2 linked regions of the Stegostoma tigrinum genome follow. The protein of the gene in region 1 interacts with the protein of each later gene in a pairwise test. Links are inferred from orthologs where the notes say so. Each region holds a gene or a part of one and is shown on either strand. Other genes may lie near its edges. The genes, in order: znrf1 and ubiquitin-conjugating enzyme E2 E2.

The links.
Region 2: the proteins of znrf1 (region 1) and ubiquitin-conjugating enzyme E2 E2 interact in a two-hybrid assay, tested with the Homo sapiens proteins (2 studies listed by BioGRID and IntAct). The link is inferred for Stegostoma tigrinum from reciprocal best matches to the Homo sapiens genes ZNRF1 and UBE2E2.

The regions. Positions count from the first base shown.
Region 1 is NC_081369.1:14,286,073-14,301,403, forward strand, and holds the start of znrf1 (E3 ubiquitin-protein ligase znrf1), read left to right. Parts: upstream 1-9,331; 5' UTR 9,332-9,366; coding exon 9,367-9,835; intron 9,836-15,331. UniProt on the Homo sapiens protein: E3 ubiquitin-protein ligase that plays a role in different processes including cell differentiation, receptor recycling or regulation of inflammation. Mediates the ubiquitination of AKT1 and GLUL, thereby playing a role in neuron cells differentiation.
Region 2 is NC_081355.1:65,288,567-65,303,902, reverse strand, and holds the start of ubiquitin-conjugating enzyme E2 E2, read left to right. Parts: upstream 1-8,232; 5' UTR 8,233-8,318; intron 8,319-8,513; exon of another isoform or gene 8,514-8,717; 5' UTR 8,718-8,769; intron 8,770-9,503; 5' UTR 9,504-9,513; coding exon 9,514-9,689; intron 9,690-15,301; coding exon 15,302-15,336.

The sequences.
Region 1 (15,331 bases):
TTTAGAGCGCAATCACATAATTCATAAGCTGACAAGCCAGAAGACTACGTGAGAAGTCACTGCCAGACAAGATAGGAATGGGTGCCATGAAATCTCATTTGTCAAAACATTTCAACTGAAAACAGGAGAATTCTGCCCAATGTTTGCATTTCACCAAAACCAGCCCTTTCGCTCCTGTTACTCCGTATGGTGCAAAAAATCCTGGATTTATAGGACATTTTTCACAATTAGTGGACTCTTTAAAACCAATAAATTTTGTATATCTAGAATTGTAATCACAGTTTGATGTCAGAAACAGGTCAGCTAACTCTCACAACAGCAATGCAATAATGACCAGATAATCGGCTTTTAGTGATGCTGATTGAGGGACAGATATTGGTAAGACACTTATAAACTGTGTCTTTGACATTGGACCCCTTTAAATTCACTTCAACAAGTAGATGTGGCCTCTGTCTAACACTTCACCTAAATACCAGTACACCAACCAGGCACTACTGTCTCAGGAACTATACTGATGTGTCAGCCCCAGCCTTGTGATCATGTCCTAGAGGGGAACTTAAATCCAGAATGTGTGATTCAGAGGCAAGCATGCTACTGATTGAATCATGGCTGACACTCCCATGAAAGCTTCGATTGAAATATGTCTCCTCGGTTAGCCTCATAATCTGCCCAATCTGCAACAGTCCGCTGTGCGTGGAGACAACAAACAATTCTCAATCATAGAATTTCTTCTCCAAGTGATGTGCACCAAACGGTGTTATTAATCTGAGGAAACATGCAATATCTTCAGTTGACATCTTTGTTCCCTGTTGTAACTTATCATTCTTTTTGCATGTAAATGCCCTGAAAATTAGCCATAACAATTGTGACAGAAAAAGCTCACATGACTTGATCTTGAAACTAAAGTGACTGCATGAAATTAACGTAATGCAGTTGTGAATAGATGAAAAGTTACAGAGCAGTTGTTACTTAATTGAATGATGGAGCACACTCAAAAAGCTAAAAAGCAGCTGCAAGTTGGTAATCTTCAAACTCCTTTGAGGGATCACTCTGAACAATGTCTCATCGTGCAGTGGTTACATGATTGATAGTAGATTGGACAAGACTCATTCTAAGCTGTCTCATCATGTCCCTATGCCATCATGGATTTATGATTCATCAGAGCACAATGCATTAGGAAGACAGCAAGGTCAGCAAAAATTAAACGTCTGAAAGGTACAGACACCAATCTTTTGGGTCATTTAAATGCTGTGCTGGTCCTGTAGCCTGGGAGCTAGTTCCTGTGGCTTCAGTTTTCTCCAATAATTTTTAAATTCCATTCAGCTCACTAAAATTATTTCAATACCCAAGGCCAATTCCGTTAATCCCCCTTGTTTTTTTGACACTGCGTTTTCATGCAGTAGAATTGTGATGGATTACCCTTGTCTAAATAAGAGAACTACAGAGTTTAAAGGACTATCCAAGGACCACTACTGTGATTGCAGCAACTATACAGTTATAGTCTATGACTTTGTCAAAGGTCTTTTCCCAGGGTTGGGAGTTCAAAACTAGAGGGCGTTATTTTAAGGTGAAAGGAAAAAGATTTTAAAATGACCTGGGGGTGGGGGTGGGGCAATGTTTTCACACAGAGGGTGGTTCATACATGGAATGAACTGCCATAAGCAGATACAGGTACAGTTACAACATTTAAAAGATATTTGGACAGGCACATGAACAGGAAAGATTTGGAGGGATATGGCTTAACATAGGCAAATGGGACTCATTTAGTTTGAGAAACTTGGTTGGCATAGATAAGTAGGACCAAAGGGCCTCTTTCAAAGGGACTCTATTATACTAGGAGAATACAATGATGTTACATTTGGTTTAACAGCTCCTTGATTTCCTTACATTACTTCTCCTATTTATATGTGTTGGTGGCAGCACTCTTCAAAACAATTGCTATAAAAAGGCATCCAGACAGTAGGCATCTAACAGTAGTTTGTAGAGGCCATGAAAACCATTGACCTCTGATATTGTTGGGTTTCCAGACCCTTCAATTGGAATGCCCCTGTCAATAATAGAATTCCTTTATTGTAAAATTGTCTTTAATGTTCTTGCTTATCCCAACGCAAGAGAAATGAAGTGGCAATGGTATCCAAAAATGTTAGCTGTTGACTTCAATCAGATGTCTTGTCTCAAACCTTACTCTTGGCACACGATCATGACTAACGCTTTGCCCAGCATACCCTCAGTACTGTACCAATTGGAGATCCTAAATAAAAGGTGCTGTCAATGTTAAATAGTACTTGCTACCATGGAAAGAATAGAAGGGTAATTGCACTGGCCAACATTATTTCCTCAACCTTCATTGCCACCAAATTAATCCATTGCTGTTTTGAGCTTGCTGTGCACAAATCAACTTCCTGAATTCCCTCAATTACAACAGTTATTGCATATGAAAAGAACCTCATAAGTAGCAGGGTGTTTGCAATGTCTTGAGGTTGTGAAAGACATAGTTTAATTACAAATGTACTTTTTTCTCCAATAGTATCACCTATTGTCTTTGAATGGCTGTACTCTTGAACAGATAATGAGTGACTTGTTATCACATATTCAGGCAGGTGTTTGTTAAGCATAGTATAAATGTAGATTGTAATACCAGATTGAACAATTCAAACAAGTCAACTTCAAGGATAATTGAGTTTGCGGCTTAAGGGAAGATGGATTAAAGGAATATGGAAATATGGTAGACACATGGGATATTTGGATTACTGTTCATTCTTATTTTATAGTTTTAAGAAGTATCAGGTGCCAGACCTATTGTAGTATTTGTTGAAAGTTCAACAGTTTTCCATGGAACATATTTTCTCCTATACAAAAGCAGAAGTTACCAGGAAAGCTCAGCATGTCTGGCAGAACCTGTGAAGAGAAGTGTTTCAGGTTCGGTCTCTCCAATATCAGTAAATCATATATATTCACCTCAAGGTCATATTGTTGTGGTAATCACTGAAGTATATAATGACCAAAGAAAAATATAATTGTCAGTATAACTCCTGCCATTCACTGGCAAGTGAAATAGCTGCCTTAATTTTACACATCAGCCAAGTTTAAATATTGTTCAAAACAAACTTAGACAGAACTCTTTATTTTCCAGGTGCCATTCTTGACTTTGAGAGTCACCAAACTATGATTTGTACTAGAGGAAGGGTGAGGAAACAGGCCCTGATGTCTATCTTTACTGAAACAGGGATCAAACTTGTTGTTTGATTTAACACTGTTGGTGTTATTCTGAACCACATCCTAGCCATCTAGCTAACCAACCACCTGAACAACTCCTAGTTACAAATGTAGAAAACATTTTTGAGCAATAATCCTTAACAATTAGGATTTGAACTTCACCTCATATAAATCTACTTTCTTCCCTACAGGCGGTAAAAAAATTCTACAAACCAGTTTCCTTTCTGAGAACTAGCTTATACACAGTATCTGCATCATATTAACTGATCTGCAATCAAACAAAGCCAGCATTTTTAGCTGCAAGCTGATCTCCGTGTGGGTTTACCATTCATACAAAGCATACAGAATAATTAAATTTCAAATGTTTTCCATGATACAGTTTCCCTGCCCTTATAAAACAGTGCAATTTAGTGTAAGCAAATCAAAGAAAATTCACTAATCTATTGCAATTGAAGATTTCATGACTGCCCGGTTTCTGCCTACTAAATCTTATTTCTTTTGTCATATCTGGTGTTAACTTTTCTCTATTTCTTATTTTTTTAAATGAAAAGAAGAAGCTCCATGCCAACTGGCTCCCGTCCCCAGGTAATTACAGACTCTAGATCTTAATCCCACTGCACCCGAAACTGATTTACCAGTTTTTTCTGAATTCACCCTTTTCCCAGCGCTCTCAGAATTTTCCGCCTTATTCCTATTAGACCCTAGACTGTCCCCAGTGCTGAGAAGAGGTACTGCTGTTGGACAGTGCCCCTGCTGTCATCAAACTTGTCATCTTCAAAATGCAGCATCACAGAAAACCAGTCAACACATTATAAAGAATAATTGATTTGCTCTCAACCTTTGAAGAATAACCTTCCCTGATTTTAAAGACTGGGGTTTTGGGAGTCATTTCATTCACCAAGCAGAAGAAACATCCCACTTCCCCACGCCATTTAATCAACCCCAGCAACACATGGTGATTGCTAAAATGACTGCAAAGTTATTGGCGACAGCTTATAGCGGGAAAATCATTGGTTTTCTTCAAGCTTCAGGTATTTTTACTGTCAGGAGGGAGACATCCATCCGCTCTTCCACAAGTCTGAAGGAGTTTCTTTACATTGTTCACACCCACAACCTGTTCAACCACTCAGGATCCAATCAGAAAGTCGTCAGGCTGATGACCTGGAGCGTCCATGACTAGTCGCAATTGCACAAATTCTATCCGCTACATGCTGTTGGCCAAACCTCACTTTGCGTACACCCCTCCATCTACGAACAGCCTTCCGTACTCCTTGAACAAAGCAGTTATATAACGCAAGGGCTTCCAGTCTCTTGCTTTTTTAAAAGTGTAGCAATTCCTTCCACAATCCTTTGTTTTAAAACAGCTTTCACCCACCCCACCCTGCCATTTCAGTCTACTATAAAAGAAAAAAAATGAATTAATACTTTTTTTTGTTATTGGTTAATCCTGTGTGATTTGATGCAGTAGGTGAGTCAGTGGTACGCCCTGCCCTCCACCCTCAACCAGACTATTATACATGATTACAGCTTCACAGTTAGCTCCAGTAACAGCGCAATGCTGCCGACGCCACTAATCCTGTGTGAGATTTGTAGCTGGCTACCAGCATTTATGGTGCTCTTGTGCTTGCAGGTGGGCTGGCAATTTCTAGGTGTTTCCAAACTTCACCATAATTGAACGGTTGTGTCGAAATCTATATAACCCTCCCTCTTTGCCCTGTTTTCATTTGGTTCTGGAGTTGAGAAACTTTGGCATTTTTTTTTCATTTCTGGACGATTCAGGAGCAAACAGATGGTAGTCTGGAATGTTTGCTTTTACTTGTTGATGTCAGCGAGTCTTTCATTGCTAATGATATGGAAACAATGAAGTAAAAATGTGAACTAATACTGAACCGCACAGTGTTTACATTTATATTGTTTAACAACTTATCAACTTTGAAGGTTGTCCCTTAGGATTGAGGATGGCTTGCTTCTAGTTACAGTGGATTCTGCGATGGTTTATATATCCGTTGCGTGATCTGCAGATTCTGCGATATGTGGGACAGGTGATGTTTTAAGGGTTGGACACACCTTGAAATTGTGTGGAAATACAGGAACAGCTACACCTCCCAGTCGCAAACCATTTCCATTCCCCCTCCCATTCTTTAGATGACATGTCCATCATGGGCCTCCTGCGGTGCCACAATGATACCACCCGAAGGTTGCAGGAACAGCAACTCATATTCCGCCTGGGAACCCTGCAGCCCAATGGTATCAATGTGGACTTCACCAGCTTCAAAATCTCCCCTTCCCCCACCGCATCCCAAAACCAGCCCAGTTCATCCCCTCCCCCCACTGCACCACACAACCAGCCCAGTCTTCCCCTCCACCCAATGCATCCCAAAACCAGTCCAACCTGTCTCTGCCTCCCTAACCTGTTCTTCCTCTCACCCATCCCTTCCTCCCACCCCAAGCCGCACCTCCATCTCCTACCTACCAACCTCATCCCACCTCCTTGACCTGTCCGTCTTCCCTGGACTGACCTATCCCCTCCCTACCTCCCCACCTACACTCTCCTCTCCACCTATCTTCTTTTCTCCATCTTCGGTCTGCCTCCCCCTCTCTCCCTATTTATTCCAGAACCCCCACCCCATCCCCCTCTCTGATGAAGGGTCTAGGCCCGAAATGTCAGCTTTTGTGCTCCTGAGATGCTGCTGGGCCTGCTGTGTTCATCCAGCCTCACATCTCAGGTTCAGGTTGGGGCCGGCTGAGGTAACGGAAGCATTGGTGAGCATATTGAAAAGAAGGACGGGAAGCGTCACAATAATTCTTCTAGCCTGTGGCAAGACTTGTTTTGTGATCTGATCTCAGTTTCCTGTATCCAGACTCTGCCCACACTGACTGCGATGCCACTTTCTTCCACACCAGAAACGTTCCTTTTAACCCTCCCATTTTCTCCAGCCCATCTTGCTTATTACAGAGTTCCCAAAAGTTTCTGCACGTCTGAGACCCTCCAGTTAAAGATAACAAAAAACAGAAATTGCAGGAGAAACCCATCAGGTCTGGAAGCATCTGTGGAGAAAGAAACAGAATTAAAATTTGGAGTCCAGTGACCCTTCTGCAGTTAAAGCTGATGATTGTACATTTCTGTGACATTCTATCCTTCGGTTTTAGCTATTCCTAGTTACTTGTGCTGCTCTGTAGTGTAAACCCAGATCATGGACTGAACCCTGGATAATATTTGCATACACTGTCAAGTCACATGCATATCTGTCACAACAATGTTTTAGTGTGCCAGGGGCTGACCATGCCAAACGATCAGCTCTGTGATTGTTACCTATGATGGGATGAAATGGAGGACGCAGCAGGCTGAAGCGTAAAACTCCTACCAAACCCGAACCCTGATCTCGCCTATGGACTGGAAAGATTGGGTTGAAATCTCCACCCATCCATTCCCAAACCACCGCCGGCTTGAATGTCAATTTTGGAACCCGTTATAATTATTTATCTCGACAAAAGTTAGATTTCCTGCAGTCGAAATCACACTAACTTCCTGGACCAAGCGCAGTAAAAATGGGGCCGGGCTGGAACGTGCTAGACAGCTTCTGTACACAGCCGTAAGGCGATCTCCTCAGTCCAGCGCGGCCTGGGTAGGGGGGGCTGAATCAACAACCAGGTCGGCATGAATGAGTTGGGTTGAAGGGTCTGTTTTCGGGCTGTATGACTATAATTCTAAGCTGGCCCATCTCTCCACAGATACCTACTGACCTGCTGTACAGTTTGGGTCTCATTTCAGGTGGCCAGAAATATATACTTCCTCTTGTTCCCTTTCTAAAAAAATGTGAAAACAGAAATGGTTGGCATTGCACTAGATGAAATGAGTTTCCAATCAGCTCTTTTTTTAAAAAAAGTAGCGTCACAATAAATACGTATGGATTTCTCCATTTGGTGCCATGAAAAGTTGAAAAGGTTCATGACGGAGGACTTTCCTATTGCGAATGGCCTCCTCCCTCCAAGAGCATGTTGTAAATGTCATCGCAAATATTGCAGTCAACCAGACAGAAAAAAAAAAGTGCAGGAGCAAACTACTGCAGATGCTGGAAAGTGCTCTGAAAACTAAGAAAATAAATGCCGCTTGAAACGTTAAGCTTGCTTTCTCCAGAGATGCTGCCTTATCTCGGTGTGGTCTCCAGCAATTTTTGTTTGCTGTAAAAAGTTAAAGGTTTTTTTAATGCGTACATTTTGCATTTTGAGAATAAGCATCTAGATTCGTGCAATCTAGTACAATATCAATTAATCCATAATCTGTTGGCCAGGATGCTGCCTGGGATTTAATTGTCTCGGGAGGAGAAGAAATACTATTCCTTCTCGTCCCTCTGTGGGGCGTACATCATTGTAATACCGTGCGTTTACATAGAACAGTTAACTACACACTGGCTCCAATTCACCCCAGATGGGATTAGTGAGGCTGAGGTACCAGTGTCTTATTTGGCAATTCTTACTTTCCGAGGTTCTGGAGAATGTTTTGTTTTACTGATGTATGAAGCCAGGGACGTGCTGCGGAGTGGAATGGCCAGCAATTCTCTGCGAGCATGAATCAGATTAAGCAGTTTTGTTCAGAAGGGTCACTGGGCTCGAAACGTTAACTCTGCTGTTTTTCCAGAAATTTCTGTTTTTGTTTAAAAATTCCTGGGTTGCGCATGGGGCACCTCACCCTCACTTCGGGCTGCTACTGGCCGATTGTTTTACTGCTTTCTTTGAAATAAGACGATGAGCATCCTGTGAACAACGTGGTTGGAAAGTACAGTGGTCACTGTTTAGAGCGGTTTTACTCCATCTCCAGCCTCGCGGGACATCGCTTGTGACTGGCGCTAGTACCAATCTTTCTAAAGGTGAATTCACTTTCCCCACTGAGCCGGTCTCGGCTGACCACTCTCCTAGGAGTACGGCCGGAGTTAGTAACGCCAGTTAACACATAAGCGTAATGCGGCGAGCTCCGCTCATTCGCACCCAGTGAGAAAGCTGTCCGGATACTGCCTCTTCCTATATTGGATTGCCCGGAGCACTGACGAAATAAACCATCTGTCAAGCATATATCCAAGACAGCTCCGGGCATCCTGGTGGGCTCGCTGTATCCGAACAAGACAAACTGCTTTGTTTAATGGAGTGTCGCGGAAAAGTTTTAAAAACAAACGCCTTTTCTTGAAATAAACCTCATTTCCTTGCTTTTCAGAACCCTGGGCAGACAAGATTTGGACTTTTTTTTGTGTGCGTGTGTTTGGGGGGGGGGGGGGGTGTAAGAAATAACCAATACGAAGACTGCGGGAAATGTGATAGGGATCGGATCTCATGCCTTGACATTTCGGCTGGGGTGAGAAATGTCATCACGAGCGAGTTGACAGATAAGACACCCAAACAACATCGAGAGGGAGAGAAAGAAACAAGCTATCCTGGTGCAAAACGAGTGTTGGGAAATACCTGCCAATGAGATGCAGACTTGTTGGGGGAGGAAGAGGAGAAGTTGGTCAAATGCAAAAAAAAAGATAAGGGGGGGAAAAAAGAAGAGAGAAACTGTTGCTTCCTTTATGCCACATCCTGCTTGTATCAAAGTGTAGAGAACACTGACAGCCAGACAAGGCAGTGAGTGAAGTGACTGACTGACTGACTGACTGGAGGGGGCTTTGCTGGCAGCGCGAACTGCTCATGCGCCTTGCTCTCACCTGGGCTAACAGGAGCTGGGCTGGTGCGGGAGGGACAGGGAGCGGGGTCGAGGGGTGAGGGAGGGAGGGCGGGGGGGGGGGGGGGGGGTGGAGGTGGGGGCTCTCCCGGGGAGTTTGTTCGGGCGGGCGGGCGGGGGTTTTAGAACAGAAGAAGAAGATGGCCGATAAGGCAGAAGTTGGAGAACGCCAGGGTTAGACAGCAGCTTCCCTTCACCCCCCCCCCCACACAAAAAAAATCAATCACTCCCCCCCCCCCCCGCCCCGCCATCAGTCCAGTCAGTCAGTGAGTGAGGGAGGGCGAATGGCCGCGGCCGAAGCCCTCGTGTGAGACCGGGCGGCGGTTAAACCCCCCCCCCCCTCAGGCTTGGGGGGTCGACGGTAGATTAACTACCACCCCCCCCCCCTTTCCCACACACAGCCTCCAGGGGAGGGTTGTTTATACCGCCCGCCGCCCATGGGAGGGAAGCAGAGCACGGCGGCCCGCTCCCGGACCGCTTTCCCCGGCGTCTCGAGCGACGACAGCGCCGTCCACACCGCTCACTACGGCCATTACCGGGCGTCCGCCGCCGGCACCGCCGCTGGAGGTGGAGGTAGTAGTGGTGGAGGAGGAGGAGGAGGCCCCGCCATGGGGCTCAGGACTCGCTCGGTTAGCAGCGTGGCCGCTATGGAACCGGCTCATCCTTTCGGGCTGTACAGTGGTGGAGGTGGAGGGAGCCGGGCTGGAGGAGGAGGCGGCAGGGTGACCGATGGTGTGGAGCACAGTAACGGAGGAGGTCCCGACTCGGCCGGTAACGGTTACCGGGAGACAGGAGGAGGCCCGGCCGCCCGGGAACTGCAGCTCTACCTGGGCTCGAGAGCGGCCTCGCTGTCCGACTCGCTGCCGCTTCACCTGGCGGCGCCACGCTGGTTCAACACACACAGCGGTGAGTGCACCCCTAACCAGCAACCAACTCAACCACTAACCCTACTCTGTCACCACCCGGTATCCTTCCATTAATGAGCAATCAGCCACCAGTCCAATTCGTAACCTGCCCCAATTAACCACCCTGAGGCACCCCCGACGCTGGCTGATATCTGGTCATTCATGCCTGTTGCCCCCGTCGATTAATAGCATGTGAAATTTCCTTTGGTTGTCATTTTATTCAATGCGGGGAAGATAAAGCTGTCGTAATTGCTGGTACCAGCTGATTATCAGAAGTCATAGTCGTCCATTAGTATCACCGTTTCTGATCTTTATTTGCTGGTTAATTCATCAGTAATTGGTGCTAACAACAGTTAATATATTATCAATACTTATTATGATGGCTTATTATCATTTGTTACAAATTTAGTAAATATTGCAGTACTTAGTGCTATCAGTGTTTGTAATAATCATTCTCTTCTGTTTTATAGTCATATTAGTTACAATATTAATGCATAATAATAACATTCCTCAACTGCATCATACATATATTTGTTGACACTATAAATGGTATATTTCAGGATGGAAGAAAGCTAACATGGCTGTCCCAGTGCTCCCTCCTTATTGGGTAATACACAGTGTATCATTAGTAACTAGTGTTCTGATTTCACCAGGATGGGGTTATCAAAGCTACCCTTGATTACTGTTAATGCTAACACTATTGACACTCGTTATTGCCAGTACTTAAAAATAAGCTCATTCAGTTTAAAATAGTTAATTCTCTTAAACTTTGACTCTTATAAGATTTTTGATTTCCTCTGCCTTTTTACATTCCCTCTTACTAAGCAAAGCCTTTAATGAGTTCAATAATACCAAATTTATAATTAAATCAGAATTATTGTTTACACACAGGTTTTGGTTGTAACAATAGAAATCCACTTTGTTTTAGATGGAGCTATAGGAGTAAGATGTTAGCACTGCTATCCTTTCTGATGTAACGTTCTGGCCATTCAGAAAGCCAGGACCTATTAATGTTCACAATCCTGAATGAATAAACAGCATAGTTAGTATCTTGAGGCCAACAGGCAAGAATTATGATGGATTAAATATTCAAAGTTGCAAATAATCCAAAAACAGATTGGATTAACACAGAAATTTCTCCCATCTGTACAGAAGGGAAAACATTTTCTCTGTTTCAGGTCCAATGGCCCTTTGTCATGTTCCCAAAAAGTAGGCTTTAGAATAAATATTTTTATCAGTAAAATGATAATTCTGTTTACAGTTGGGGACAAAATATTGTGTTATGTAAACATTGCTTGTATATCACGTGATGCTACAGTATGATGTCTTGCTTAATTGGAACCATACTTTGACGAGTATGTCATTGAAGGCAGATTGACTTCAATTACTCAGCGTTATTGGGAGCAGCAGTGTATTTGAGCGCAGTGTCGATGGGTTGGAGAGGAGTTGATACTTTAGATGTGGAAGATAAAAGTATACCAGATGGTTAGCATGAATGAGTAGAAGAGTGGTCAGAACCACTTGGGTTTTGGAAGTAGACAGACGTCACAGACATTCAGGTTGACCAAATGAATTGGAGACAATGGGGGAGAAAAGGCTGGACCAAACCTTTGTTTTGGTGGAGTTACAAATACATGGATGAGGTCACTATGAGAAGGTGACGGAAGTCAGTTAGAGATTTGAAAGTGAGGATGAGAAATGATAATTTCTTGGAGGACATAATATCACTGAAACTTTTGAGAGCATTATGTAATGTTACTGTATGACTTGGTGATGATGAGAATGGGTGCTGAGTATTGAATGAGTACCAAGTTGTAGAAGGTTGAGAGGGGAGTACTGGTCTGAAAGATGTTAGTTAAATTTCATTGTGAGGTTTAAGGTTTTAGCAAAGACTTGTTGCTCAGATTGTCGTTGAGGTTGTTGACTTGCTCGTTAAGCTGGCTTGTTCTTGTTCATGCCAGCTTGGTGAGCAATTCCTCAACTTTACTATGAGGTGATGGAACAGGGTTTTAGTGGTAGTAGAGCAAAATTATGGAAGGTACTGGGTATGCTTTTTAAAAAAAAAGGAAAAAAGTGGCCTTGGGATAGTGTGCATTGGGAAAGATACAGTTTGAATCAGCAATATGCCATCGTGCAACACCTTGTTAGATTGAGATGGATTGTAAAAAAACCAGCTGGGTTGAGACCAAACGTATGAAGGTGCCAAAGGCAAACAAAAAGAATGGCTTTATTTATTCCAGCAGTAAGGCAGATGAAATGTTGGCTTTGTGGGAAAAGTGATTTATACAGTGTTTTGCAGATCTTCAAATTAGAGACCTATTTCATAGTTTTGCGCTCTGAGTAGGAAATGGAGAAAATGATCTGTCTTTTGGGAGTAATTGCTAGACAGTACTTTGTTTTATTTGGCAGTGTTGCTGATGTTGATCAGGAAGTAATCTTGAAAAAGTGAGGATAGTATTTTGCTTTTATTGAGATAGTAGGAACTGCAGATGCTGGAGAATCTGAGATAACAAGGTGTAAAGCTGGATGAACCCAGCAGGCCAAACAGCATCAGAGAAGCAGGTAGGCTGACGTTTCGGGCCTAGACTCCTCTTCGGAACTTCTTCATCCAAAGGGTTATGACTTTGTGGAATTCCCTGCCCAGTGAAATAGTTGAGGTTACCTCATTGAATGCTTTTAAAGACAAAGATTTTCAAACAATAGAGTAATTAAGAGTTATGGTGAGTGGAGGGGTAAGTGGAAGTGAGCCGTTTAAAAGATCAGCCATGATCTTTCTGAATGGCAGAGCAGGCTCAATGGGCCAGATAGCCTACTTCAGCTCCTATGTTCTTATGTACAACTGTGACTACATTTCAGATGTATTTTGTTGACCGTAAACTTCTTTGCGTGGTCATGAAAAGCACTATACATGACAACACAGCGGGCCAAGCAGCCTTCAGAGGAGCAGGAAGGCTGACGCTTTGGACCTAGACCTTCCTGCTCCTGTGCTGCTTGGCCTGCGTGTTCATCCAGCTCTACTGCTTTAGTTTTTATATGCCTTTTTAATGTAGAGAAAAATACTAAGCCGTAACTTAACCCTGGAAAGTTTGGTCTTCTACTGCCAAGCAGACTAAATTGAAGTTTAACCATTGGCGTTGAGATCTGCATGTTGTGACAAATCAGGCAATGGATTATACCAGTATGTTGCCATTGGATCAGCTGTACTTCTACGGAGCCACAAGGGGAAGGGGGCATGAATTGTCTCTTCATTCCAAGAAAGGCTAAAGTGAAACTTAAAGTCAGCAAGTTACTAATGAGTTTCTTTTGACCATTTCCAGTGATGTGATGCAGAGCAGACTAAGTGAGATGCGCTAACTTGAATCAAAGAATATTGTGTATTTTGGGATGCTGAAAAACATACTAACACAATTAAGGCAGCGGAAAATAGCATTAATGCTAAGTTGTAAAGGCTAGAATGCTATTGATTTGCTTCTGCAGCTTTGTGAATTACAAAGAAATAATGCATTGTATTATATAGTGCTTTTCATGACCACTCAAAGCAGTTTACAGCCAACAAAATACTTCTGAAATGTAGTCACAGCTGTACATACGAACAGAGGAGCAGAAGTAGGCCATCTGACCTATTGAGCCTGCTCTACCATTCAAAAAAATCATGGCTGATCTTTTTGTGGGCTCACTTACACTTACCCCTACACTCACTCTTAATTCCTCTATTGTTTAAAAATCCAACATTGTCTTTGAAAGCATTCAATGAGGTGACCTCAACTGCTTCACTGGGCAGGGAATTCCACAAAGTTATAACCCTTTGGATGAAGAAGTTCATCCTCAACTCAGCCCTGAATCTGTTCCTCCTTATTTTGAGGTGATGCCCCCTAGTTCAAGTTTCACTAACAAGTGTAAAAAGCCTCCCTGCTTCTGTCTTACCTATTCCCTTAATAATTTTATATCTTTCTATAAGATTCCCCCCTCATTCCTCTGAAGTCCAATGAGTCTGGGCCCAGTCTACACAAACTCTCCTTAAACCAATCCTCTGAACTCTGAACTCTGGAATTAACCTAGTGAATTTCCTCTGCACACCCTTTCTCATGTAAGTACTGCCAGTACATCCTTTCTTAACTAAGGAGACCAAAACTGTACACGGTACTCCCGATATGGATTCACCAGCACCCTCTACAGCTGCGGCATAACCTCGCTATTTTTGAATTCTATTCCTCTAGCAATGAAGGACAATATTTCATTTGCCTTCTTCGTTACCTGCTGCACTTACATACTTTTTTTTCGTGATTCATGCACAAGGAAACTGTAATATAGGAGTATAGTTAGAATCCAGCTATCAGCTACATGAGGTTCGGTGTCAAATATGATGGTTTGCTCAAAGTGGCTGCTACTTGTAGAGGGAGTGTGAAATTAAATTTGAAGGCAAATTTCAACTTTGTTAGGGGTTGCTGGGGTATGTTTGTGCTTTGGCTCTCAAGCCTTGCGAGCCAGGGTTTTTTTAGTGTTTGGGAAGACACCAGAATAGGTGGGAGAAATATGGCAAATAATGTGCTTTAATAGTGCAAGAACATTCCTCCAGTCGTAATGTAATAGTGAATGTGCCCTCTTTTTTACACCACTATAAAATCCTGCTTTGAATTTGTTTGGAGGATTTTGGAGCTGTAACTTATTAGAATGCTAACAGGACAATTTAAAAAAAACCCCAGAAAAGAACAAAGCTAGGGTGGAAATTCCTAACGATAATAATTACAGATGTGACTTAGGTTGTAAAGTTGGGGTTGCCTACAATGGGTCTCCATCTTAATGGGGGAAAAAAAACTGTTCTAATTGACTTGCCAAATTAATTAACATAATTTGAAAAATTAAGTTGTCACCAGCTGATATAAGGTGGTCTGAACAATGTATAAATGAATTGTTTGGGATTGGAGGGAATAGTGGACAATATATCCAAGACTAAATAGAGGTTGAAAGACATGTGACATTCTGCAGACTGATTTTTTTTCATTGAAAACAAAGGCTTTCAACTTTTGTAAGTTGAACCAACAACATTTTATGGCTTTGACACTGTTTACACGCTTATCCCCGGCCTTATTGTGATTCCAAAGGGAACTTGCAAACCTCCTTTCCCAAAGCTATGTTCACAAAACTCTGTTTCATTTTTCATACTATCCCATTGTTTTCCCCCTCAAAATAAAACCTAGAAACGGTGGAAAATTTGAGCAAAGACATTAGCTGGATAGGTTACTCCAATAACTTTTAAGCTTGGACAGGAAAAAACTTGACAAGTGATAGACATTTCCCCTCTCAACTATAGAATTTTTCTTTTCCCTTTCAAGAACTATCTTTCTGCTCTTATCTGTGCATGTTCCCTCTTTTTGCATGTTCTTATTGTCTGATCAACTGTAACGTTTCTCTCTGATTTTTTTCTGGTGTAAACTATTCTCCTGTACACATTATCTTGCCTGCTCCCCCATCTACCATTTTCAACTTTAACAAATTA
Region 2 (15,336 bases), on another chromosome or scaffold:
TGAATGTTCATATGATTCAGTCTGTTTCAAAAATGACATCTAAAGAACAAAGAACAGTACAGCATAGGAGCAAGGCCTTCGGCCCACCAAGCCCGCGCCAACACATGATGACTTTTTAAACTAAAAATGTTTTGCCTCTACGCAGTCCATATCCCTCTATTTCCCATCTATTCATGTAACTGTCAAGATGCCTCTGAAACGTTACTATTGTATCTGCTTGTACCATCTCCTCCTGCAGTGGATTTCAGACACATTCCACCCTCTGTGTTAAAAGCTTGCTTTCACATCTACGAATATATAAATGAGATGGTCAAGATATTTCTTAACATTCTGGATTATTTACAAGAGAAAGTAATTATAAAAATCAAAATACTTGCTCTAAGATAGGTTTATATCTACTTGTATGAATCTGCTCAAGTCAGAACTTATGCCAAATATTAGTTTAATGCTCATGACAGTAAGAACGTTGCAAATGAGAAGCCATTGAGAAAATTCACTCCAATTTGTGCTGACACTATTATCAGGACTCTGTTAAGGTTAATGGTTTATACAAAAAATATATTTATACAGTAAAATGTAAACTAATTCATTTACAGAACCTGTTTCTGAATTTTTATAGTAATGTTTATTACAATAACAACCTCTCCACAAACCCTTGAGTATATTCATATTTTATATATATTCTGTCCATGAGTTCTCCACCAACAAGGGAGAGAAATTCATTTGTGAAACACTGAGATAAATGAAGAATTCCACTGCATGGTCCTCTGCATTGTCTGCCCTGGGGGAATTAATGTGAGTCTGTGTAACAATGCTACACATATTAATTTGTCCCCATATGTTTATATGAAGGATGGCAAATGTATTGACATTTAAACCAATTTCTTCATCACTGTAACACAAACTGAAACATTGTCATTGATATATATGTGGATGTACTATGATAACGAAAACATCACTATCTAAAATAGGAATGCTGAATGGTAGTAGACAGCAGTTTAAATTGGAAATGCAATTTAAATGGATATCCTGACAATCACAGCCAAGAAAGGTGGCAGGGAAAGAGTCCCTGACCACGGAATAAGCATTTTCATAAAACACATTGCTAAGGATTAAATAAATTAAGTTTATCAAAAATATAAATACTTATGTCAGGTGTTTGAAATTAGTGCTTAAATATTTGTCATGGCAGAATTCAGTTTAGAAGTTTGCATGTGGTGAATGTTTATTAAGTATGTCTGTCTTGCATATGCAGTCACCTGAATTATTTGTGCAGTTCACACAACTGATTTGGAAAGGGCATGTGACAGAATAAGCTTTACAGCAGAACATTCAACAAACAAATGCTTCATCACACTCAGCTCTCAGGCTGGATCTCCTGACGTTCTGGCCATATAGGTTTGGTGGTCAACTAATGTTATCATCTTGGTTTACATGAGTTTCTGGTAGAATATCACACAAGAGTCCAAAAAACATTGATTAAACAGCTCTAGAAATTAACAAAAGGCAGAGGATTTGTTATTCTATTGCTTGTTTGATGTTGTTAGCCTGTAGCACAGATTTTGTGGTCAATGGTTAAGCAATGATGCTCACTTTGTTTCTGTCTTCAATGGAGGCCCAACCAGTTTCCATCAACCATCACTGTCCTCCACTTGGCTGAACTTATTCACTCATTGAACAATTTGTCCCTTGATTCCTTTAACATTCTCCAAATAGAAGGTACCCATATGAACCCCCTCCCTCAATTGTTATTCCTATTGATTGATAATTATATTGGTGCCATTGTAGTCATGCGAGAACTGCATTATTGTGATTAAACAGCAATAAGCTTTATTCATAACTATTTCGAGTGATGTGCAGTTTCTAACGACTCTTATTTGAAGTCCTACAAATCTAGGTTCCAGTTCCATTTGATCCTTTCACACATGGTCAGTAGGTATATACAGATAAAAGTATAATCAATCTGTCAAACTAAATTTTTAATGGCACCTCTTTTTGCGACAACATTTAACCATGATCATTGAACTCTTTAACTTCACTTATCCACACCCCTCTCCATCCATAAATCTCATTTGCTTGAGGGCCTAACCTCCGACAACATTCTCTGTTCTCTTCGAGGATGTATAGGATGAATATGCTCTTTTCTCATTTCCTTGGAGGGCTTGCACAATGGTAGAATGGAATGGCAGCTGCTAATGGCCTTACCAGAAATGTCACATTCAATTAATGAACATATTTACAAAAAAAAATGTTGAAAACAACAAAAAAGGACACAATAAAGCCAGCATGCAACATTCAGCTTAGACCCTTCATCAGAAAAGGGGGATGGGGACAGGGTTCTAAAATAAATTTCAGAGATTTTGAAGCTTCACCTGCACATCTGCCAATGTGGTATATTGCATCCACTGTACCCATTGCGGCTTCCTCTACATTGGGGAAACCCAGCGGAGGCATGGGGACCGCTCTGCAGAACACCTACGCTCGGTTCGCAACAAACAACTGCACCTCCCAATCGTGAACCATTTTAACTCCCCCTCCCATTCCTTAGATGACATGTCCATCCTGGGCCTCCTGCAGTGTCACAATGATGCCACCCGAAGGTTGCAGGAACAGCAACTCATATTCCACTTGGGAACCCTGCAGCCCAATGGTATCAATGTGGATTTCACAAGCTTCAAAATCTTCCCTGCCCCCACTGCATCCCAAAACCAGCCCAGCTCGTCCCTGCCTCCCTAACCTGTTCTTCCTCTCCCCTATCCCCTCCTCCCACCTCATGCTGCACCTCCATTCCCTACCTCTTAACCTCATCCCGCCCCTTTGACCTGTCCGTCCTCCCCGGACTGACCTATCCCCTCCCTACCTCCCCACCTATACTCACCTCCACAGGCTCCATCCCCGCCCCTTTAACTTGTCTGTCTCCTCTCCACCTATCTTCTCCTCTATCCACCTTCAATCTGCCTCCCTCTCTCTCCCTATTTATTTCAGAACCCTCTCCCCATCCCCCTTTTCTGATGAAGGGTCTAAGCCTGAAATGTCAGCTTTTGTGCTCCTAAGATGCTGCTTGGCCTGCTGTGTTCAGGCAGCCCCACACTTTGTTAACTCAGATTCTCCAGCATCTGTAGTTCCCATTGTCTTTATGCAACATTCAGTAAGCTCTTACTGAAAAATAATGTCACACAGGCTAGGTTGACGAGGGCAAGTTCTCAAAAAGAAATCAAATATCTCTTTCCTGCTACTTGTTCATAGATCCTTACTTCAATGCAAAATGTTTGGCTAGTTAAACCCTGCAACTATACTGGCTTTGCTGTGAGTATGGAGGAAGAAGAGAAGGTGAAAGTATGCTCAACAGCAACCGCATTGTGGACCCAAGAGTCAGGGGACTCTGCCTGTACAGCATCAAGCAGTAGGTGAAAAGTGGAACTAGGGCCTTGAGTATTGTCAAGTACTGTACAGTGACAGGATGTACTGAAAACATTACAGCCACCTGCAACTGAGTGAATGCCAATGCTACATTAGATCTGCGTGACTACAGATGACATTACCTACGTCTGCCACATTCAGCAGAAAGATTTGCAGACACACAGCTTGGTTGGGATCATTGTACCTATGACACTGAAGATCACAGCAGGATTGAAGCTCTACTTTACCAGGGCCTTTCAAACCTCAATTGGGGATTTGTGTAGCCTATATCAATCAGCCATGAGCATGTGCACTTCTAAATACATGAATACCCTTCTGAGAAAAACACCTTTGTTTACGAAGTTCACCATGGAACAAGAGTGCCACACTCCCTGAGCTGTCAGATTTGCATTCATTTCTGGGTGCCCTTAGGTCCAAGATGCAATTGACTGCAGGCTCAGAGTTTCCTGGCATCATCCAGCCAGAATCCTTTCCAGGTCATGATTTCACTTCCTCATTGTCCAGCTCATTTGTGATCACAGGCAATTCTGCAGGCTTGTACTTGTTATCCAGGGAGCTGTCATGCTGCTTACATTCTACACAATCCACAGTGCCATTAATATTCACTTCCCCCTACATCCTGTCTCCAGGGTTGGCTCATAAATGACAAGGGCTAACCTCAGAAGTTATGGCTTAATAACTCCACACATTGACCCGAGTCTGCTGCCACACATCTCGCTAGATAGGAGTCTAAGAAAGGGAATCAGCAGAGATGCTGTGGCAGGTGAAGCTGATGCTGCTGCTCTTTAATTAGCTAGGATAGTCACGAGACAGAGCAGAAAGATACAAGAGAACCTGATGCCTGCTAGATTTCAGATCAAATGAATTTGCTCCAACATATGTGAATACCCAGAGCAAGGAGCCAACTGTAGCTGAGGAGCATTCCTTTCCTGAGATAGTAGGAACTGCAGATGCTGGAGAATCTGAAATAACAAGGTGTAGAGCTGGATGAACACAGCAGGCCAAGCAGCATCTGAGGAACAGAATGGCTGACGTTTCAGGCCTGGAACCTTCTTCAGACCTTTCGGTCCAGGCCCGAAACGTCAGCTTTCCTGCTCCTCTGATGCTGCTTGGCCTGCTGTGTTCATCCAGCTCTACATCTTGTTATCTCAGCATTCCTGTCCTGAAGGGAACATGTGATTTCTAACATTTTGTGCTTATGTTCCTTTGTTTGCCGATACTGATTGTTCAAGTAAGTAGAAATATATGCTTTCCCAATATTGATTTAAGGCTAAATATTAGCTGGGACAACAGAGGTAAATCCGCTGCTCTTCTTCAAATATGCCATAGGATCTGACAGCACAGATGGGGCATCATTTTAAATTCTGATCTGATGTACAACATCTCCAATAATGTAGTATACTCTCAGTACCGAACTGGAGGGCTGTTTCATTTTGTATTCAACTTGTATTCATTTTATCTTGAACCCAACTTTTGATTCAGAGGTAACCACGTCACCAATTGCTGACACAATTGAATGATAAACTTCATTGTACCTGAATGGTACTTATTGTTTGGTAAAAGATGTCAAAAGCCATGGTTGTAGATGTTTTCTCAGAGTCAAGCTTTCATTCTTTCTCTTTAAATAAGTACGGCACAGGTTTGGTGCTATGTTCAAGGTTTGCCAATTGTCAAGGTCACCGTGATTTCCTGAAGCTCAACTGACCGTCCGAATGAATATTACTCAGAGCCTTTTACTTGTTCAGAGTCACATACAACATCTGAAAACTACTTTGTTTAATTTTCCCAGATTTGATACCTATTCAACATTGGGTAGGTTGGGCAGATATGAGTTCAGTGATGTACAAGGGAGACTTAATGGACAAAACACCCTGTAAGGATTTTTCTGTCTTTTTTCGTAAATTAATGGATGGGTGTCTTAAAATAAAGGTCTTGTGAGAGTTTTGATAAAGTGGACATGATTCCATGCATGTTTGCTCTGGTGACCTTATAAAAACCAAGTATTGCCAAAACAAAATCTTATTTGATTGATACAGGAAGCAATGTTATGCGCCTGAAGTTGAACTGGTTATATGAACGGATTGCTGATACTTTGAACTCTGGGATAGTCCAGCCATCTTACACAATTGTATTGACCAGATATTTTTCTCCAATTAGTCAATGGTAAAAATTGTTCCCTGTATTGAATAAAGCAGATTGTCTTTTTAGTCACCTTTGAACATCAAATTGTCTTCACATCTGTAGTGCAGCTTTGTTGGAGACAGCTACAGCAACATACTGATTTAATCTAGCACTTTTAACATTACAAAATGTATAAGCCATTTCTCGGAAGCATTATAAGGTAAAATTTGAGAACCGGCCATATAAAGAAATTTTAGGCACCATTCCCTAAAGCCAGATCAAAAGGTAGGATTTAAGACGTATCTTTAATAAAAGAAGTGAGGTTGAGGAAAGAAATTTCAGAGCTTAAGACCATCGATACTGGAGCCATTACCTTAGGAATGCTCAAGATGCTGAATTAGAGAAGTGCAGAGTATTGAAGGGTTGGAGCAAATTATTGGGATTTGGATGAGCAAGGCCATGGAGGTATATTTGAGAACAAGAATGAGAATTTCAAAAATAAGGGCTTGCTAGACCTGTAGCCAATGCAGGTCAGCTAGTACAGCAATGATGATTAAACTGGACTTGGTGTGAGTTAGAATTTGAGCAACAGAGTTTACAATGACCTCAAGTTTAAAGAACATAGAATGGGCAACGCCAGTCAAGTGTATCTGGGATAGCCAAGTCTAGAGGTAACAAAGTTTTAAATGAGGGCATCCTCAACAGATGAGATGAGTTAGGGGCAGAGGTGGACAATGTTATGGAAATAAGTGGTTTCAGTGATAGTATGGCTATGCCATCAAGGATTCATCTCAAAATGAAATTTGACACTAAGATTGCAAACAGTCTATTTCAGTCTCAGGTAACTGTCAGTGAGAGAAACAAATTCAGTGGTTATGGAATTAAATTTGGGGCAGGGATTGAATACTTCAGTCTGCCCAATATTTAATTGGTGAAATTTCTGTTCATCTAGTACTGTATCCAGAAAACAAGAGGACTGATAATTTAGAGACAGTGGAGGAGTTGGGTGAGCAGTGGTGTGGTAAGCTGGGTGTCATGGGTATACATGTGAAAACTGAAACTGCATTTTCAGATGTTCTTTCTAAGTGGCAGCGTGTGTATAAGAAACAGAAAGCAACCAAAAATAGATACTTGACGGAAGAGAGGTAAAAGTGCAGGAAAGAGATGTTTAGAAATTGAATATCTGTGCTGTACACGTATTGGCACTTTCAGGTCTATTATTCTATAAGAAATAGCCACTTAGACTCCTGTTGAAGTTTATAATGGTGGAAAATGGGAGATGGTGGGCTATCCAAGATAGCATTGGAATAGTCAAGCATGGAGGTAACAAAAGCACAAATTAGTGTTGCAGTAGCTGGTGAGCTGAGACAGGGATAAAAGTGAACAATTTACAGAAATGGAAGGAGGAGGTGATCTTGGTGAGGCAGAAGACATTGGATTGAGCTCAGTTCAGAGTTCAATAGATCAGTACATAAGAACATATGGGTTCAGAGCAGGAATGGGCCACATGTCCCCTAAAGTCTGCACAGGCATTTAATAAGGTTGTGGCTATTCTGATTGAAACCTCAAATCCACATTTCCAACTACTCCCAATAACCTTAAACTCCATTGCTTGCCAAGGATCTATCTGGCATTTTCTTTAAAAGTCTTTCACTGCTTTTTGAGGAAGAATTTCAAAGACATACAACCATCTGAGACAGAAAGACAGTCCTCATCTCTTGTAGTACTCAATTGAAGAGCCTGTGCAGGCACAATTGGCCAAATGGGCTCCTTTTGCATAGAAATAATTTTATGGTTCTGTCAATTAGCTATACATAGCTCCTCTCCAAAGTATTTAATTCTCTGTAAAGTGCTCTGAGATATTTCTGAAAAATGAGATAGGTACTCTCATAAATTTAAGACTTTTTTCACAAGAGAGGCTATAAATATACTTAAACAAAACAAGTTGTATTTATTTCTAACACACATGAAGGAAAGTTACATTTTAAAAAGACCTTTCACAAAGAGTTTTAACATTCCATCACAAGATCGTAATAAATTTAACATTCCCTTAGGTATAGGTTGGTTCGTTGTCATCCTATTCGAACAATTCCAACTGTTGTCTCAGATTGAATTTCAGACAATGTCAGAAACCACCGCACCAAACAGATTTCAGCATTTATGTTTGTTTCAGAATTTGTTCAATTTATGTAATTATTGTCCCTGCATTTAGATCAGGCTAGCAACCTGAATTGACAGCTCCTAAACATCACCAGAATGAATCAAATCTGACGATGCTCAGTGCAGCATGTATATCATTGACTGCGATGCGCCAAGTCTCCCACTGACTGTTTCTGGAGTAAGTGTTGGATTGAGATGATGATCGCGGTAGTCTGAGAAATTTGACGCAAGGACTCAGCGTGTTTACTGGATGTAGCCATTCCAGTCATTTCCCTTCACTCTCACACCCCATGTCGAAAATAAGCAGTTAGCCTGGCACCATAGAATTAATTAATCGTTTTGCTATTTTTTTTTTAAAAAGTCAGAAGAACAAACTACTTTAGAACAGGGACCGAACTGCTGTTTCTCTGGGAGTCACATGCAAAATCTGCACCTTTTGGTTGGGAATAGGATCCCTAACAGGAGGGCAGCTGGCGGGCGGTGGTCACCGGACTAATCCTGAAAGATCCGAGAACCTCCAAAGGGAAGACAGCGGGAATTCTGAATCAAGAAGTTGTTAACGGATCAATAGGGAGACGGCTCTTGCCCACTCACTGAATCAGCAGCGCGGAGTCGAGGTGTAACCGCCCGCCCTCGCGCCGTCACTCAAAGACAGAATGCGACGGTTGAATGGAGCACGCGCACAGCCGCGCCCCGCGTGTCCCCTTCCCGGCGATGCTCCTGGCTGGGAGAGTGTGCGCACTCGTGAGGCGCGTGTGCGCGCGCGGTGGCGAAAGCGCTGATTCAGTTTTGGGGCGCGCGAGCATGTGGTTCCGTGGAGACCGAGCGAGTCCGTGCGCGCGCGCCAGCGAGGATAGAAGCGGCGTCGGCAGCGGATAGCTAGATAGGGGAGAGGGGGCTTCTGCTCATGTGTTTGGGATTGGTGTCTCCTCCACTTTCTCACCAACATCACCAGTCAAACCCGTTTGGTTTCCGTCTGTTTCAACTCCTTTCTTACTTCCTTGTTTATTTTTCAGCGTAACCCGAAGACATAGACAGCGATTCCCCCCCACCCCAGTCACTGCTCAGGTAATAAGATTTTTAGGAAGAAGAAGAAGAAAAATGAGAATCACCTCCTTCTTTCCCCGTTACCCCATAGAACTTAGTGGCCCCTCTAAACGACTGGACAGTTTCCAAATCCGGCCTGAAAGTTAGAGTCGAGAGTGGATGGTGTTTAGCTGTTTTTGTGTGATATTCCTCTCTGTGTGTGTGAGGGAGATATTGGAAACGAGCAAGGCCTTTAAAGCATCAGTCACTGCACACTGGTTTGCAGTTTCTCATATCCGACTTTCTGCAAATGACAAACTGACCCCCCCCCCCACTTTCGCCCCAAATGACATACAGTCGGTGTTTAAAACCTCCTTCCGTCTGCTATTTAACCACATCAAGCGCAATTTGACGTGGCTGTGAAATGTTCGACTTATACTTCGCTGGTATTGTTTGTGTAACTGTTGGGATTTATACTTGGTCGGAAAAAATATAAATGTTACAAAACAATGCTGTTGTCGAAATTGAAACACGAAGAGACATGATGTTGACCTAACAATGTTTACATTCGGCGAATGTTTTAGATACAACTTAGATACACCTTGCGGTCGATTTCAAATCTGTATTGGAAATTACGTTTGTTTTTTGAAGCTGTTTCAGCGTTTGTGAAATGGGTTAAAAAGTTGGGATAGTGGATTGTGTCTTTTAATGATTTGAAACAAGATTGTCTTGAACTTCAAGTATTGCTCAATTAATATATTTGCTATAAATTCCAGAACGAGTAAGATGTCCAGTGAGCCGCAGACGGCTGATGACAGCCCCAGTACCAGTAGTGGCAGCTCAGATGGGGATCAGCGAGAAAGTACTCCTCAAGAACAAGAGAGGGAACAGCCACAGCCCAAGAAAAAAGATGCCAAGATTTCCAGTAAAACTGCTGCTAAACTTTCAACTAGTGCTAAAAGGTACCAACTTACTCGAAACTGATCATGTTGTTTGTCCTAGGAGGAATCCCATTATGTTTTATTAGCAAAATTAGATGAAGAATGAACCAAGACAATATAGCTTTCTTCTGATCTGAAGCCAGTGAGCTATTGTTCTATTCTTTTGACTGATGCAAGCGTGGACATTTATCTCTCTTGAATCGAATTTCCTCTGCAAGGCAAATGTTTTCAGTGAAAGTTTTATCTCAGCTTGGTACATTTAGTGATGGGAATGTAAACACATGTTCAAATGCTACCCCATAGAAGTATGGACCTACAGGTTGACAATTAGTGTTTTTTTGGTTCTGCTGTTAAACTTTGCCAACACAAGTCTCTCTTAACCATGCACCAGTGCCTGTACTGGTACCAAACTCCTGCAGCTAAACAATTATTGGATTCTGTAAGGGTTTAAATTTGAAGGTAGTTTTAAATGGGCCATTGATTCACAGTGAGCACATTTCACCTTGCTGACCTAGTTCAGTTGCACCCTCATGTTGCTTGAAGATTGTGTGCTCAGGCTATATTTCCTCATCCACCAAACACACCCTCTGGTCTGTATGAAACTACAAGACCGCAACACTATTAAAGGTCCCAGTCTTCAAATGACATGTAAAACTCAAGATTTTATCTGCCTATTTCAGTGGCTAAGATTAAGATTAAAGATTTGAGGAAAGCCCCAGAGTTCTGAAAATATTTTGACCAGCAGTATCTACTCAACAAATGGCTTCAAAAAAAGTAATGTGTTATTTGCTTACTTAGTTACCCATCTCATTACTACTTGTTGAACATGGCTAGGTGCAAAATGGTTGCCATGCTTTCTTAGTTCAAAGCAACTTGTTGTGTGGCATCATTAGGAATGGCTTGTGTCTCTACCTCTGGGCCAGATATTCCTCTTTTAAGTCATACCAGGATTTGCTGGCTATGGAAAGTGCATTTCTAACTTTGCCAATCTGCTTGATTGTCTTTCTGTAAATCCTTCCAATACAGATATTTCTGTTATAAAGTGTGTAGCACAATTGAGGAATAGTGGACACTGTTTGGATAATGTGAGGTTTCTAATGTACAGTATCGCAATTTCCTTATAAGCTGATTTTTCTATAGTAAGAGGCCGCACAAAAATGCAACTATCGTGTTACAGGAGAACTAGCTGTAAGTGTGATGACAAACTAAGTGGGAGAGTTGCCTGATTAGCCATCTTGATGGGAGCAATAGCAATTGCTGCAATACGTTGCTCATAAATTTGAACCAATCCAACGAAAGTCCATGCCCAACCACATAACCAAGACTAAGAGAAAAGCTTGGCAGCATATTAAACTTTACCTTGTCAAAGTGAAATGGTGCTGTATATTTTCCAACTTTTTTGTTTGATTAAAAAATTCTCTTTACAAACATACAAACATTCAAAATTGAAACATAAGTAGACCATTTGCTCCCTCATACCTGCTCCACCATTGAACGAGATCTCTTTGTTTAAAATTCCATACTTAATCTATTCTCAATAAACATTTATTGGCTTGCCTAACAAGAAACTATGTAACTTGGCCTTAAATATTTAATAACATGAGCTCCACTGTTTCCTGCGTCCACAGAATTCCAAAGTTGCACAACTCTGAGAGAATGTTGTTTTTTCCCTATATCTCTCATAAAAGGCCAACCCCTAATTTTAAAACAGTCTCCCAGTTCTAAATGCACCTGTAGGAGGAAACACCCTTTCAACATTCACCGTGTCAGGATCTTCTCCATTTCAATCAAGTCATCTCTTCTGAACCCCAATGCTAACAAGCACAGCTTGTTCATTCTATCATCATATGATAACCTACTTATTCCAACTATCCTCTGAACTTCCTGCTGTGTATTTACATCCTTACTTAAATAGGAAGACTAAAACTATTCAATTATTCGAGTTGTGGTCTCACCAAGGATGACTTCTTTACTTTTATGTTCTAATTCCTCGTCGTAAAATATAGCATCCATTAGCTGCCTTGATTATGTACTGTGCCTGTAAACTTTTTTATGACACAATGCCCTAGAACGCCTAAATCCTTTGCACCCCCGAGTTCTGCATTTAAATAATACACTGCTTTTTTATTCTTGCTGTGAATAAAATGAGCAATTTCACATTTTCCCACATCATACTCCACCTGCCAGATTTCTGCCCACTCCTTCAATGTATTAATATCTATCTGCATTTTCCTCATGTTTTCTTCACAACATACTTTCCTATGAATCTTGGTGGCATCAGTGAATTTAGCTACAATGCCTTCACTCTGCTCTTCTAAGACATTGACGTATATTGTGGAAAGTTGAGTCCCAGCATAGGCACCTGCAGGACTCCATTCATCACTTCTTGCCAATCAAATAAAAATCCGTTAATACATACTCTCTGTTTTGTGCCAGTCAGCCAATCTTCTGTTCATGCTAATATGTTACCCCCCCCCCCCCCCACCCCGCAGCTTTCTCAGAGGAAGAAAGACAGGTGGGTAGCAGAGATGTTTGAAAGGGAATTCTAAAGCTATGATCTTAGGCAGATGAAGCACTGAATCAAAGAGGTTTTACTATGTTTTTTACTGTTTGGCCCATTGTTTCTGTACCAACTGTCTCATGGAGTAATATTGGCTTAATGTTATTGCCCTGCTATTGTCCTCTTTTTCCATACCCTTGCACATTGTTTCCACTTAAATGATCATCTAATGACTTCTTAAATGCCTCAATTGAATCTACCTCCAACACATTTCCAGGCAGTGCATTCCAGACCTGAATCACTTATTGTTTATCATATCACGATTGCAGTTACTAATGCAAACTATTGTTTAAATGTAATTTCAGTTAAAGAGCTCCATATTATATCACCTTATCAACCTATTGAATTATTGAGACAATACTGCTGAATTTATTATACAATACATCAGGACTGATGAGAGCAGACTATTTAAAATCAAGGATGGTTGTGGCCAGGATTAGATGAGTGCTGGTATCATACATAAGGAGCAAGAGGGTAACTAGAAAGGGTTGGCCCACTCAAGGACAAAGGAGGATAGTTATGCGAGGAATCAGAGAAAATGAGTGAGATTCTTAATGAGTATTTTGCGTCGGTATTCACTGAGGAGAGAAACAGAATGGATGTTGAGGTGAGGGATAGATGTTTGATTACTCTAGGTCAAGTTAGCATAAGGAGGAGGGAAGTGTTGGGTGTTCTAAAAGGCATTAGGTGGACAAGTCCCCAGGTCCGGATGGGATCTCTCCCAGGTTAATGAGGGAAGTGAGAGAGGAAGCAGCTGGGGCCTTAACAGATATTTTTGCAGCATCTTTGAGCACGAGTCCGGTCCCGGAGGACTAGAGAATTGCTAATGCTGTCCCCTTGCTTAAGAAGGGTAGCAAGGATAATCAAGATAATTATAGACCAGTGAGCCTGACATCAGTGGTGGGGAAGCTGCTGGAGAAGATACTGAGGGATAGGATCTATTTACATTTGGAAGAAAATGGGCTTATTAGTGAAAGGCAACATTGTTTTGTGCAGGGAAGGTCATGTTTACCAACTTGATAGAATCCTTTTGAGAAAGTGACAAAGTTGATAGATGAGGGAAGAGCTGTGGATGTTATTTACATGGATTTCAGTAAGGCGTTTGATAAGGTTCCCACGGTAGGCGGATGGAGAAAGTGAAGTCGTGTGGGGTCCGGGGGTACTAGCTAGATGGATAGAGAACTGGCTGGGTAACAGGAGACAGAGTTGTAGTGAAAGGGACTTTCTCAAAATGGAGAACTGTGACCATTAGTTTTCCACAGGGATCCATGTTGGGACCATTGTTGTTTGTGATATACATAAATGATCTGGAGGAAAGTATAGATGGTCTGATTAGCAAGTTTGCAGATAACACTAAGATTGGTAGAGTAGCAGATAGTGAAGGGGACTGTCAGAGAATGCAGCAGAATATAGATAGATTGGAGAGTTGGGCGGAGAAATGGCATAAGAAGTTTAATCCAGGCAAATGCGAGGTGATGCATTTTGGAAGATCCAACTCGAGCGAACTATACGGCAAATGGAAAAGCCCTGGGAAAAATTGATGCGCAGAGAGATCTGGGTATTCAGGTCCATTGTACCCTGAAGGTGGCAACGCAGGTCAGTAGAGTGGTCAAGAAGGCATACGGCATGCTTTCATTCATCGGACGGGGTATTGAGTACAAGAGTTGGCAGGTAATATTGTAGTTGTATAGGACTTTGGTACAACCACATTTGGAATACTGCGTACAGTTCTGGGCGCCACATTACCAAAAGGATGTGGATGCTTTGGAGAGGGTGCAGAGGAGGTTCACCAGGATGTGGCCTGGTATGGAGGGCACTAGCTGTGAATGGAGGTTGAGTAGATTAGGGTTATTTATAGTAGAAAGACGGAGGTTGAGAGGGGAGCTGATTGAGGTCTCCAAAATCATGAGAGGTATAGACAGGGTGGATAACAAGAAGCTTTTTCCCAGATTGGGGGACTCAATTACTAGGGGTCGCGATTTCAAGGTGAGAGGGGAAAAGGTTAAGGGAGATATGCATGGAAAGTTCTTTATGCAGAGGGTAATGGGTGCCTGGAATGCATTGCTAGCGGAGATGGTAGAGTTGGGCACGATAGCATCATTTAAGATGTATCTTGACAGATACATGAATGGGCAGGGAGCAGAAGGATGCAGATCCTTGGAAAATAGGTGACAGGTTTAGATAGAGGATCTGGATCGGTGCTGGCTTAGAAAGTCGAAGGGCCTGTTCCTGTGCTGTAATTTTCTTCGTTCTTTGTTTCTTGTCTCCCCCAGCCTCTCTCCCTCCGAGATACAAGAGATTGGGAAGTGGAGAGTCTACAGTATGATTTTAAAAAATGAGTTTTTTGAAAAAAATGCAAATGTTTTAGTTTGATCTTGCTTAATAACTTGAATAGTGACATATTTGCCATTGCACTCGCCATGTTATCGAGATATAAATATCATGGAGTATAACACAGTGAAGACAATTATATTGTATGTTTTTGAAAATTCACCCTTGCATATACCACAGTTACCAACTTTGGAACACAGTAACACAATATTATTGCCAAATGTTACTAAATGTTTTCAATCAGAATTTACGCTATATCCCTGTAATTTGCTTTCTGAACAGCTCTCATCAGTCCTGATGTTATGTGTAATAAATTAAGTAGTATCGTCACAATAACTCAGTAGATTAACAAATCAGGTGATATAACATGGAACTCTTTAGTTTAAATTTAATTTCAGTTAAAGTTTGCATAAACAGTCTGCAACTGTCCAATTTTACAGTATACAAGATTGGGTTAGTCTGTACTTCTCAGATCTATTTTTGAGCTCAGTGGAACTTGATATAACCCTACTACTTGCAGCAAATATCAAGGGAGTTAATGTATATAGTTGTTTTATTCTTGCAGAACTGCTAGCATATAATGTGTCCTTTAGATTCCTTTGATTAGAATAAACATTATTTGTCTTCTACAAAAACACGATAAATTTTCAAGTAGTTTTATTTTGTTTACTTGATCCAATTTTACCTTAGCAGTCCAACCTGTGTTCCTATTAAACAGATTTTCTTATGTGCCTCTCTGTAGGATTCAGAAAGAACTTGCAGAGATTACATTGGATC